3 linked regions of the Schizosaccharomyces pombe genome follow. The protein of the gene in region 3 binds, or shares a complex with, the protein of the main gene of each other region. Each region holds a gene or a part of one and is shown on either strand. Other genes may lie near its edges.

Region 1 (3,344 bases), 320 kb from region 3:
AAGTATTAGTGATGTTGATATCAAAAACAATAAAATAAGTACTTTGAATCCTGGTTAAATCCACAAAATAGTAAGCGAGACATATTCGATACCATTTTCAGCACAATTGGCCGATACGTATATTGTTCTAATGACTGGCTTGAGACAAGTGGAATGACCCGCGGCTATACACTTACATACGCTGCTTTGCCGCGGTACTTCCGAACAAAGAAATGCATTTTGAAGTAAAACGAAAACTAGTTGTATACTTGAAAACAAGTGTAATTGCTCCAATGTTTAAAATTACAAATATAGAATGTGAACAAATTTCGACACTTCAAATAGGTTCAATTAGTGTTACATATTTGAGGTATTGAAAGAGCCACTGAAGTTGTAAATGTGAGTATCGAAAATAGACTACAAATACATATTCATTTTATTGGAAATTGAAGATTGGAGAAGCTATTACATATGAGTTTACTGAACGCTTTCTAGAACTTTTAAAGCAATTGTCTACAGTTCACTTCGCTGAAGAAAAATGTGCATTAAAATGTTAAAAATTGTATATAAATCGTAAAATTGAATGATCATTATGATTCCGTTGTTTCATTATCCAACCTGATATGCTAGGTTATTCCCTTCGACTATTATAATAATAAATGAAAAAGAAAAAACTTCAACCAGTCTCCCTTGCTTAAATAAATTTATCTGGAAGCGGAATAGGTTTCTGGCCGTTCAATGAAAGAAGTGTCATTTGTAGCAAATGTTTCGTCTGCAGTTGCAAAATTGGGATCGTGAGAAATAACACCACCATCGTAGGGAGGGTCAGAAATCGAATGACCAGTACGAGTCATCAGCGTTGCCTTAAATTGGTCTTTCTTAGCTTGGAGTAAAAAACTTTCCGAAAGCGGTGCATTTTCATAATCTACGCAAAAAGCATTGATTTGCAATCCATAAAGAAAAGAAGAAAACGATTCGTTGAAATTGTCGAGTATTTGTTTGGTTGCTGACAGGTGATTCATTCGTTTACGAAATTCACTCACATTATCATCCAAAACAGCCAGTGACTTAGTAAAGGCTTGGAGATTCGAAGGGATTGCATTCTCACTTTCTATTTTCACATTATCAACATTTTCTAAAGGATTTTGAGTAGCTTTCTGGTATTTCTCCATGTTTTCGCGACTTTGGGTGAGATGTAGATGTTCTACAGCGCTTTCGGCAGCAGCAGCAGGAACATTTTTCTTCCGACGTTCTCAAAAACAGCCTGAGCCTGAGACTGTAGACGAAAAAGTGAGCTTTGAAAGTTATTCACCTTTAAAGTTGATGATTCAAAAGACATGGCCTAGGTTTCAAGAGCATAAAGAATATCGCGAATCGTTCATACGATTAGCAAAATGCGACTCACCCGACGCTATCTTAGTACGATTTTTGGCTTCTTGCAATAACGATTCACATGAAGCAAGTCAAAAGTTAATCAATACGCTACAATGGCGCGTAGATACAGGTGTTGAGCGTATCGTTGAGCGGGGTGAGCTTTATGCCAAAGAGACAAATGATGATCAGTTCTTGGAACAATTGAGAACTGGAAAGGTAACTATGTTGGGAAGGGACTTATCTGATCGCCCTATCTGCTATATTCAAGTCCATTTACATCAACCCTCAAAATTGACTCAGAATTCTCTTCGTGAGATGACCGTGTGGGTAATGGAAACTATGCGACTTTTTCTGCGACCACAAAAGACTTTGAAGGACTCTATGGACTCTCCTCAAAATGTGAATGTTCTGTTCGACCTTAGTAACTTTTCTCTACATAATATGGATTATTCTTTCGTTAAGTATTTGGCATCGTGTTTGGAGTATTATTACCCACAATCTCTTGGTGTTTGTATTCTTCATAAATCTCCTTGGATTTTCAGAAGTGTTTGGAACATTATTAAGGGATGGATTAAACCAGAGATTGCTGCGAAAATTGTTTTTACTCAGAGCGCAAACGACCTCGAAAAATACATAGACTATTCGGTAATTCCTACTTCTTTAGGAGGAGGCAACAAAAAGATATTCCAATACATAGAGCCAGTAGAGCATGAGAATGATGCAGTCATCGAAGATAGCGCTGAAAAGACTGCAGCACTTGCTCGCTATTATGCGTATTTCAGTGAATGGGAGCAGCACTCTTTAAATTGGGCCAAGCTAGATGATGATGATGCTCAAAATGAAAAAGTCCGCTTATGCTGCGATGCTGCAGGTACCAACTTTGCCAACTGCTATTGGAATGTTGACAAATATATACGAGCGAGAACCGTTTACGACCGACTGAAATGGATTGGTAATGTTTAAATTTACTCAATCTAAACGCTATGTTTTACGACTCAATTCTTTTTATTCTTTTATTAATAAAAGAATGCATCTTCCTATATTTACTACCTTTTACTAAAAACTTGAGTTTAGATCTAATGTCCTCGAAATACTCATGATTCCTCAATGGCGTTTTCAATAATCGCGTTTGCGCATATAAAAACTGTTGAAAATTCCACCAATCATTCAACCGTAGCTTGCTTGTTTAGTTTGGCTTATGTTTAGATTATTTATTTAAAAAAATCATCATGGGACTACTAGAAATATAATACAAATGAAATGTTTTCATAACCATTTACAATATAAGTATTTTCAATTCAATATAGCACATTACAATGAGCAATATAGATATATTACAAAATATCACTTAAAAAAGTGTTAATTTATTTTATCGCAAACTCATTTAAGCTTCCAATTTGAGGGTCAAGTGGCATCTACCACAGTAAAGGCGGTCCTTGTGGTTGGCCATGAAGGTGGATGCACCACAGTTAGGACACTCACGACGAAGACGCTTAACGCTTCCATCATCCTCAACCTTGTAGTACTTGAGGACGGCGAGCTCAACCTTCTTGTGCTTGTGCTTGATCTTCTTGGGAGTAGTGTAAGTCTTCTTTTTACGCTTCTTACCACCACCACGAAGACGCAAAACGAGGTGAAGAGTGGACTCCTTTTGGATGTTGTAATCAGACAAAGTACGTCCATCTTCTAACTGCTTACCAGCGAAAATAAGACGTTGTTGATCAGGAGGAATTCCTTCTTTGTCTTGGATTTTGCTCTTGACATTATCAATAGTGTCAGAGGACTCCACCTCAAGGGTAATCGTCTTACCCGTAAGGGTTTTGACGAAAATTTGCATTTTGGTTGTGCTTAGAAATGTTTTTCGAAATTCATATTTCTTTTGTTAAGTTGTGACTGCTTACTACTGCTGTACTTGGTAAGGTATGACTCTAAAATTTTAAGAATAAGAAGCCGAGCGAGAATTCAATATTCTAATTTAGCGGTCAAATTTT
Region 2 (3,396 bases), 2.4 Mb from region 3:
TAAACGATGATTTAAGAATGTTCCATTAGAGCTCTGATCTTCACAATAAACAAGGGGATCCATATCATCATCGATTAGCACCGAATACACTCTAAAGTGCTTATAACTGGCAGTGAATTGCAGAAGCTGATAATTGCATGTATTACTCCTTCCAACAGAAACGTCTTCATATTTCTTAACATTCAGTACTAATATATGTCAAAAATCAATTGAAACAAGAGAACACACCTGTTTGTGGAGAAGATGATGAAAAAACAAACAATCGAGCGAGAACATCATCTTCAGTATATTGAGGATCCATAGTACTTTCGTCTATTTGACTCAATTCACAAAGAATTTGCGTTGATTCAGATCGACTAAGCATGGCATGTGATAAAAAGTCCATAGTTCTTGCTTTTTTTTATATACACTTTGCAAAACGGTGATGCGCGTAAGCAATAAATATATATATACTTTGTAAGACGCGCCTATCAAAACGTAAAAGCAGTGTCTATAACGGTATAAAGACAATACCCATTATTATTACGTTATACCACTATAAACCAAAGTCATTTGGTAATGCCAAAACATACACTTGCCAATATTTTGAAGGATTGGGCTTGACACTATTAAGTATATTAATAAAATATGAACCTCATTGCTTATCAAATATAGTAAATTATGAGAATCCATATTAGTACAAACAGAAGAAACTTTGGATTTCAATCTCGAAGAGAGTTGCTGGCATTTAAATGATTTTTAGTCAAATGCAAGCAGAAGAAAATTTCTCGCTGTATTCACTTTAATGATCCGAGGACAAAAACGAGTCCCAATTGTAAGTTGCTCTTCATAACGAAGAAATTTGAGTATGAATAACCATTACGGTTAGAAAAAAACAAGGAAGGAAACTTATTATTTGATTAAGAAATCAACAGCTTACAACATTGCAGATTCTCATGCAACCCCATTTTCATAACGCTTTTAGGAAAGCTTGAAAACACTTTCGAATCCAGCATGATCTAATAAAATGTTAACAGGCAATTAATCGGAAGATTCATTAGGTCAGTGTTTCCGGGGTAATAGTTTAGAAATATTTAAGGCCGGACTACTTCCAAAGGGTTGTTTTGGATAATTGATTAAAAGTGATCTAACCAACTTTTTAAAAACAATACCCATATTCGTTTCTTGGACATTTTAGCCGAAAAGTGCTTTTTAAAAACCTTCATAAGCTTATATCTTGTGCCTGTTTTTACTCTTCCAAGTAGGATGTATTTTTTTCTCTGTAAAAGTGATTGAAAAATTATCCGGTAAATATTCAGTTCCAAATATTCATAGTAAACCACACGAAAAGCACCAACAGTAGAGTTAAAGCTTAATTTATAGTTCGGTTTGACGTATTTTCAATTTCAAACAAGCACGTTATCAACTTTCATCTTGAAACATGCCGCTTTTACCTTCTTGGTTATTTTCTAGGTCTGCCAAAATCGCCCAAACACTAGCTTTGTAAAGAGTATATACAAGTCCAACCTCCTTTTCTAAATCCCTTAGCGAGTCCAGAATATTGTTGCTGGGATTATAAACCATGTCCTGTAACACCTTAACAAGCTAAATATTAACCAACTGCTGAATAAAAAAGACTTACTGTTTCTAAATTTGATGCAAGATTAGCATATTCAGCTAAAATTTGATTCTGGAGAGCTCTTTTTTCCTCTAAACTCATTGTACCTTGCCTTGCATAAGCACTTTGCTCTCAGCAAACTCCTAGTTGACTGAAATCCTCCTTACTTCCACCATGGATGGCCTTAGGCCTTCGAAACGAAGAAAAAGTAATCCTTTGTATTCAGAGTAAGTTATAGCTTTTTTCTATTTAGTATTTCTGCTTTTTATACTTCGATGATCTTAACACGCGAGAGTTACGCGTTAGGAAGTATTGTACGAATTAAATTAGTGAACTTTGTTACATACGATTATTGTGAACTGTTCCCTGGTCCATATCTAAATTTGATTATCGGTCCAAATGGGACAGGTAAGAGCACAATTGTTTCAGCAATATGCATTGGGCTGGGATGGCCCCCAAAAGTAAGTCTTTCAATATTATAAAAAATAACTTAATTGATTAACGATTTAGCTACTTGGGAGAGCTAAAGAGGCCCGTGAATTTATAAAGTATGGCAAAAACACTGCAACCATAGAAATTGAAATGAAGTATCGTGACGATGAAACGGTTACTATCACGAGACAAATAAGCCAGGATAAGAGTAGTTCTTTCTCTATTAATAGGGAAGCATGTGCCACTTCTTCAATAACGTCTCTAATGGATACTTTCAATGTACAATTGAATAATCTTTGTCATTTTTTACCACAAGACCGTGTTGCAGAATTCGCTCAGCTTGATCCTTATTCTAGACTGATGGAAACTGAGCGTGCAATTGACCATGAAGGGTTACTTCCCGCACATGAGAAGCTTATTGATTTACGAAAACGAGAAAGGGAAATTTTACAAAATAAAAACCAAGGACAATCAACATTAAATTCATTAAAAGATAGACAACAGGCACTAGAGAAGGAAGTCAATATATTTAAAGAACGGGAAAAAATCAAATCATACATCGAAATGCTAGGGTTAGCTAAAATGTTAGTTATATACAGAGAGAAAACCAATGTCTTTAACCAACTTCGTGCAGACAAAAAAAAATTAAAAAAGGATTTGAAAGACCTAGTGGAAGAATTTCAACCTATTTTGGATAAAGGTGAAGAGCTGCGTTCGGATTTAAAACTAAAAGATGATACATTTAACGATTACTCCTCCGCTTCGATGGAACTTAATACCTCAAATTTAAGAGCCAGAGCTTCTTTTTCGAATTTCATGGAGAACGAGAAAAAGCTTTATGAGAAGGTTAATACCAATCGAACACTTTTACGGAATGCAAATCTTACATTAAATGAAGCACAACAATCGGTGAAGTCATTAACAGAAAGACAAGGCCCAAGACCTTCGGATAACGGTGTTCAAGATCTACAAGAAAAGATGCAAGAAGTTAATGCGGAAAAACTTCAACATGAAAACGAGAAACTTGAGAGCTCTCATGAACTAGGTAGTATCAGAACATTGAAAGCACAAAAGCTTATTGACCTTGATAACATTAAAAGAGAGTTGTCCTACTACAACGATGCTACGAAAAGGAAACTAGACTTTATGTCTTCTGCTCCAGGCTGGGAAGATGCTTATCAGACGTATCAGTTATTGAAGGAATACGAATCTGCGTTTGAAGCACCCGCATACGGCCCAATTTATATGAATTTGAAATGTAAGGAAAAAGGGTTTGCAGCTTTGATAGAAGGGTTTTTTCGCACGGATACGTTTCGAACATTTATAATGTCAAATTATAATGATTATCTAAAGTTAATGGATCTTAT
Region 3 (3,550 bases):
TAGTGCCATCTTCATATAACAGACCACAGTGGCCGTGATCAGTATACTCGCAGAGACAAACATCACAAGCAACAACCAGCTCCGGAAAAAGGTGACGAATTTCTTTAACGGCTTTAATAACTGGTCCATTTTCGGAATCGGCCATGCTACCACAATAGTCCTTTTTGGACTCGATGACACCAAACAGAATTACACTACGAAGACCTTTTTTGACGAGAGGACCCAAAAACTCTTCCAATCTATTAACACCCCATCTAAATTGATTAGGCATGCTATCAATGGCTTCCTTAGCATCATCTATTTCGGAAATGAAGATAGGATACATTAGAGATGACTTGGTAATGGGACGTACACCTTGCCATTCACGAAGCAACGGGTTTGAATACCCAGCATGCAAAAGAGAACTGATATCAACAGGCATATTAAATACTAACTGACAAAATTTATTTGATTTTTCCTAAAGATGTAAAACTGCGTAAAAAAAGCAGATTTGTGACAAATGGAACTAATGGACCAGCAAAAGCGCCTTTTATTGGTTATTTAAAAAAGTTCTAGCGGAAGATCAACAAGATTTCCTAAGAAATATTTTTAAAAAGGTAAGTGGCAGATGGCGAGAGGTTGGCGAAGGTTAAGATAAATAAGTTTAACTTTTTTTTAAAAAATCGGGCATCGGACCACGATATTTGTTGATTACATAACAATAGTATCACTCCTGAATAAATTGTTTGTCCTTGAAGAAATTAATTGTCGTAAGGGAATGCTGGGAGTATTCAAACAAGCGAAACAGGACGAACGCCAAAAGAAAATGACCAAATGAAAAATTTAGATATCATTTAGTTTACAAGGTGATCTCATTCTCCATTTCATTAGGAAGTGAAGATACTTGGAACTTGGGTTTGCTGTCGGCTTTACCAATTCTGAAATAGAAGAAACAATATGAATAAATGGACAGAACAATAATATTTATTTTAACCAATTCTTGGCCTTTTCTACTTCAGTGAGAAATTAAAAAGAGTATTTAAGTCTTTATACCTCTTCAACATCGCCTTGCTCCGTAGCAGATGCGTTGGTATTTGAAGTAGAAGGAGGAATTCGGACTAAAGCTCCTGAATGTTGGGATGCTATCTGTATTGACTCAAAAATGCTGGGCCAATTATTGAGAACAGTAGCAACAGCTGATTTTGTTAGTGATTTGAGTGTCAAACATTTATTATAATGGATTAAAAAGAGTCGTCAAGCATGTATGAGTAGTAGTGAAAATAGAAAAAATAAATAAATAAACAGATTATATTTTTTACGTTTAGGTGAATTATTGAGAGGTAGAAGTTCATTTAGAGACATGTCGGCAAATGATTGCTTTTATTTGCAATCCTGCAGATCCAATCAATTCACTTGTTTCTTTGCTTTTCTCAATGTAATGATATTTATACTTGTTCACATGAATAGCACTTAAACAGATTGGTGACAAGGCTCTTTTATATACTTTCCTCGTAATGAACATACCTTCACTTCCATCTGTTAAAGTTTCCAATTTAGCAGCAAGCGTTTCTATTTGTTGAACCATATCATTAGAAGAATCTCTTAGTTTGCATATTAGTTCGTATTCCTTTTGCTTTTCCTCAATCCTTGCTTGAAGCATGTTCACGCCAAATGTTTGTAGAAGAAGGTACGAAATTTACTAGATTTATCTCCTACACCATATAAGGCGATTTCGGTTTTGTAATTATACGTTTAAAACAAATAATTTCCGTTTCTGGAATTTTATATCTCGGAATGTATTACTAATAAAGAGGTTGATAATAGAGACTAACAAAAAATATAATGATTGATTTTACTCAATTTTAACCATTTGTTTTCATCTTTAATAAATTAGTTAGTTCATTAATTTAAAGTAATAATGAATTTAGGAAACTATGTTGAATAGTGAATATAATTACTCAAATAATGGGTCAAGTTTAGCTAGCTTATTATATCCATATTTTACTAAGTAAGTATGCATTGCTTCATCCCTCTAAAGTTTTAAAGAGGATCAAAACTGTGCATATTCTCTACTATTTCTTCTTTTATTTTTATTTTTATTTTTTTTTACACAAGGTATAATGGGCTTAAAAGACTTTTAAGATTTGGGTTCGATAGTATATTCTTTTGGTCAACAAGATTGTCAACGTTCCGATACATAAGGAAATGAATTTTTTATTCTAGACAGGATGCAACTTCCACGTATGTTTTCTAAAATTTGAACCGTATTTGACTAATTTAAAAATTCATAAAATGTCTCATCCACTATTGAAGTTTCTTCAATGATCGGTTCCAACGGGTCGTTAAAGAATACCCAACTTTTTTAGAACAAATTATAATAGAGTGGCTATTATCCATTTCTAATTAACAACTTTTTAACATACATCAAACCCTTGTTTACATGGTAATCGAGTATTTTCCTTCGCAAAAATTCACTATTACTCCAAATACTCAGTTACTGAATTGTTCGATCTCACAATTAAATTTCGCGCAGTATGTTATTATATTCTATATACAGTTTTAGAATAACGCACTTTATACATGGTTTTCGGCAATAACGTTTACATTTATATAACAATTAAACAAGTTATAATACCGTTATATCACAGAATGTCCCTGTAAATAAAAGTCAGTAAATAATCTATAGGAAAGAAAAAAAAGGAAAAGGATAAAAGGGTTAGGGGATTGAAAGGATCATTGATTTAAAATCTTTGGGTAGTAGCATCTTTATGTATCGCAGTACCGATGAGATCTTCTCCATTTTTGTAAAATTATTGAAAGAACTAATGGTAGGAATACTAAACATAAATTATCTTGTAGTTTTATTCAATGATCAAATAGTTAAAGATTTGGATGATTTCGCTACATTGATACTTGGATTCTATGAACAGCAAAACAATCGCTTTCCCTTCATGCTGAATTAACATTTCGATAACTAAAAACAGATTCTATACACTTTAAGTTCAGAGAATTTAAATTGTTGTTTTTTCCTTCGGCCCGTCTTCAAAGAAACACACTCAATTCATTACTGAAACTGGACTTGCTAAGAGTATTGTTAAAAGCGTAAAGCACACATTAATGTCTTTTGGTAATCCAAACACCAGTAATTATGTGTAATTATGAGTTTTTTCGATACAATTATTACGGTTAGAGGAAGACATGGTTTCCAAAATCATTATGCATTTCTTTCGAAATCAATTATCGATGTTTCAACCATCAACTGTTTTCAAATTGGTATTAATTAAAGAATGTAAGAAATAGAAATAAACGCTGTTTTCCTTTAAAGCAATACTTGATGCTTTATTTGAATTATCTCATTCATCCCAACGTGAAGTTGACGATTCGCTGTAAGCGAAAAATCCTTACTTAACTTCAGGTTTAAAGCAAAAAGAAATCAACAATAAAAAGAAATGTTAACGTGAGTTATGTTCGCGTTGAACTTTGTATCGATGGGGTTGTCACCGTTAAACGTCGTACTAGCTGTGGGTGTCTTTATCTCACTGCGTACCCTCCTTGTACTCATCAAAATACC

The links.
Region 1: dad2 (region 3) and dam1 share a complex: the UniProt entries of both Schizosaccharomyces pombe proteins name them as parts of the DASH complex.
Region 2: dad2 (region 3) and dad3 share a complex: the UniProt entries of both Schizosaccharomyces pombe proteins name them as parts of the DASH complex.

The regions. Positions count from the first base shown.
Region 1 is NC_003424.3:3,105,691-3,109,034, forward strand, and holds dam1 (DASH complex subunit Dam1), read right to left. Parts: upstream 1,152-3,344; coding exon 684-1,151; 3' UTR 501-683; downstream 1-500. Other genes in the region: WD repeat-containing protein Atg1801, read right to left, coding at 181-218; csr101 (sec14 family protein), read left to right, coding at 1,150-2,316; ubi5 (ubiquitin-40S ribosomal protein S31 fusion protein), read right to left, coding at 2,738-3,190. UniProt on the Schizosaccharomyces pombe protein: Component of the DASH complex that connects microtubules with kinetochores and couples microtubule depolymerisation to chromosome movement; it is involved in retrieving kinetochores to the spindle poles before their re-orientation on the spindle in early mitosis and allows microtubule depolymerization to pull chromosomes apart and resist detachment during anaphase.
Region 2 is NC_003424.3:5,228,129-5,231,524, reverse strand, and holds dad3 (DASH complex subunit Dad3), read right to left. Parts: upstream 1,727-3,396; 5' UTR 1,700-1,726; coding exon 1,622-1,699; intron 1,585-1,621; coding exon 1,402-1,584; 3' UTR 625-1,401; downstream 1-624. Other genes in the region: mek1 (meiosis-specific serine/threonine protein kinase), read right to left, coding at 1-188, 229-385; Smc5-6 complex SMC P-loop ATPase subunit Smc5, read left to right, coding at 1,772-1,824, 1,893-2,058, 2,108-3,396. UniProt on the Schizosaccharomyces pombe protein: Component of the DASH complex that connects microtubules with kinetochores and couples microtubule depolymerisation to chromosome movement; it is involved in retrieving kinetochores to the spindle poles before their re-orientation on the spindle in early mitosis and allows microtubule depolymerization to pull chromosomes apart and resist detachment during anaphase.
Region 3 is NC_003424.3:2,784,510-2,788,059, forward strand, and holds dad2 (DASH complex subunit Dad2), read right to left. Parts: upstream 1,784-3,550; 5' UTR 1,640-1,783; coding exon 1,504-1,639; exon of another isoform or gene 1,473-1,503; intron 1,176-1,472; coding exon 1,027-1,175; 3' UTR 650-1,026; downstream 1-649. Other genes in the region: porphobilinogen synthase Hem2, read right to left, coding at 1-421. UniProt on the Schizosaccharomyces pombe protein: Component of the DASH complex that connects microtubules with kinetochores and couples microtubule depolymerisation to chromosome movement; it is involved in retrieving kinetochores to the spindle poles before their re-orientation on the spindle in early mitosis and allows microtubule depolymerization to pull chromosomes apart and resist detachment during anaphase.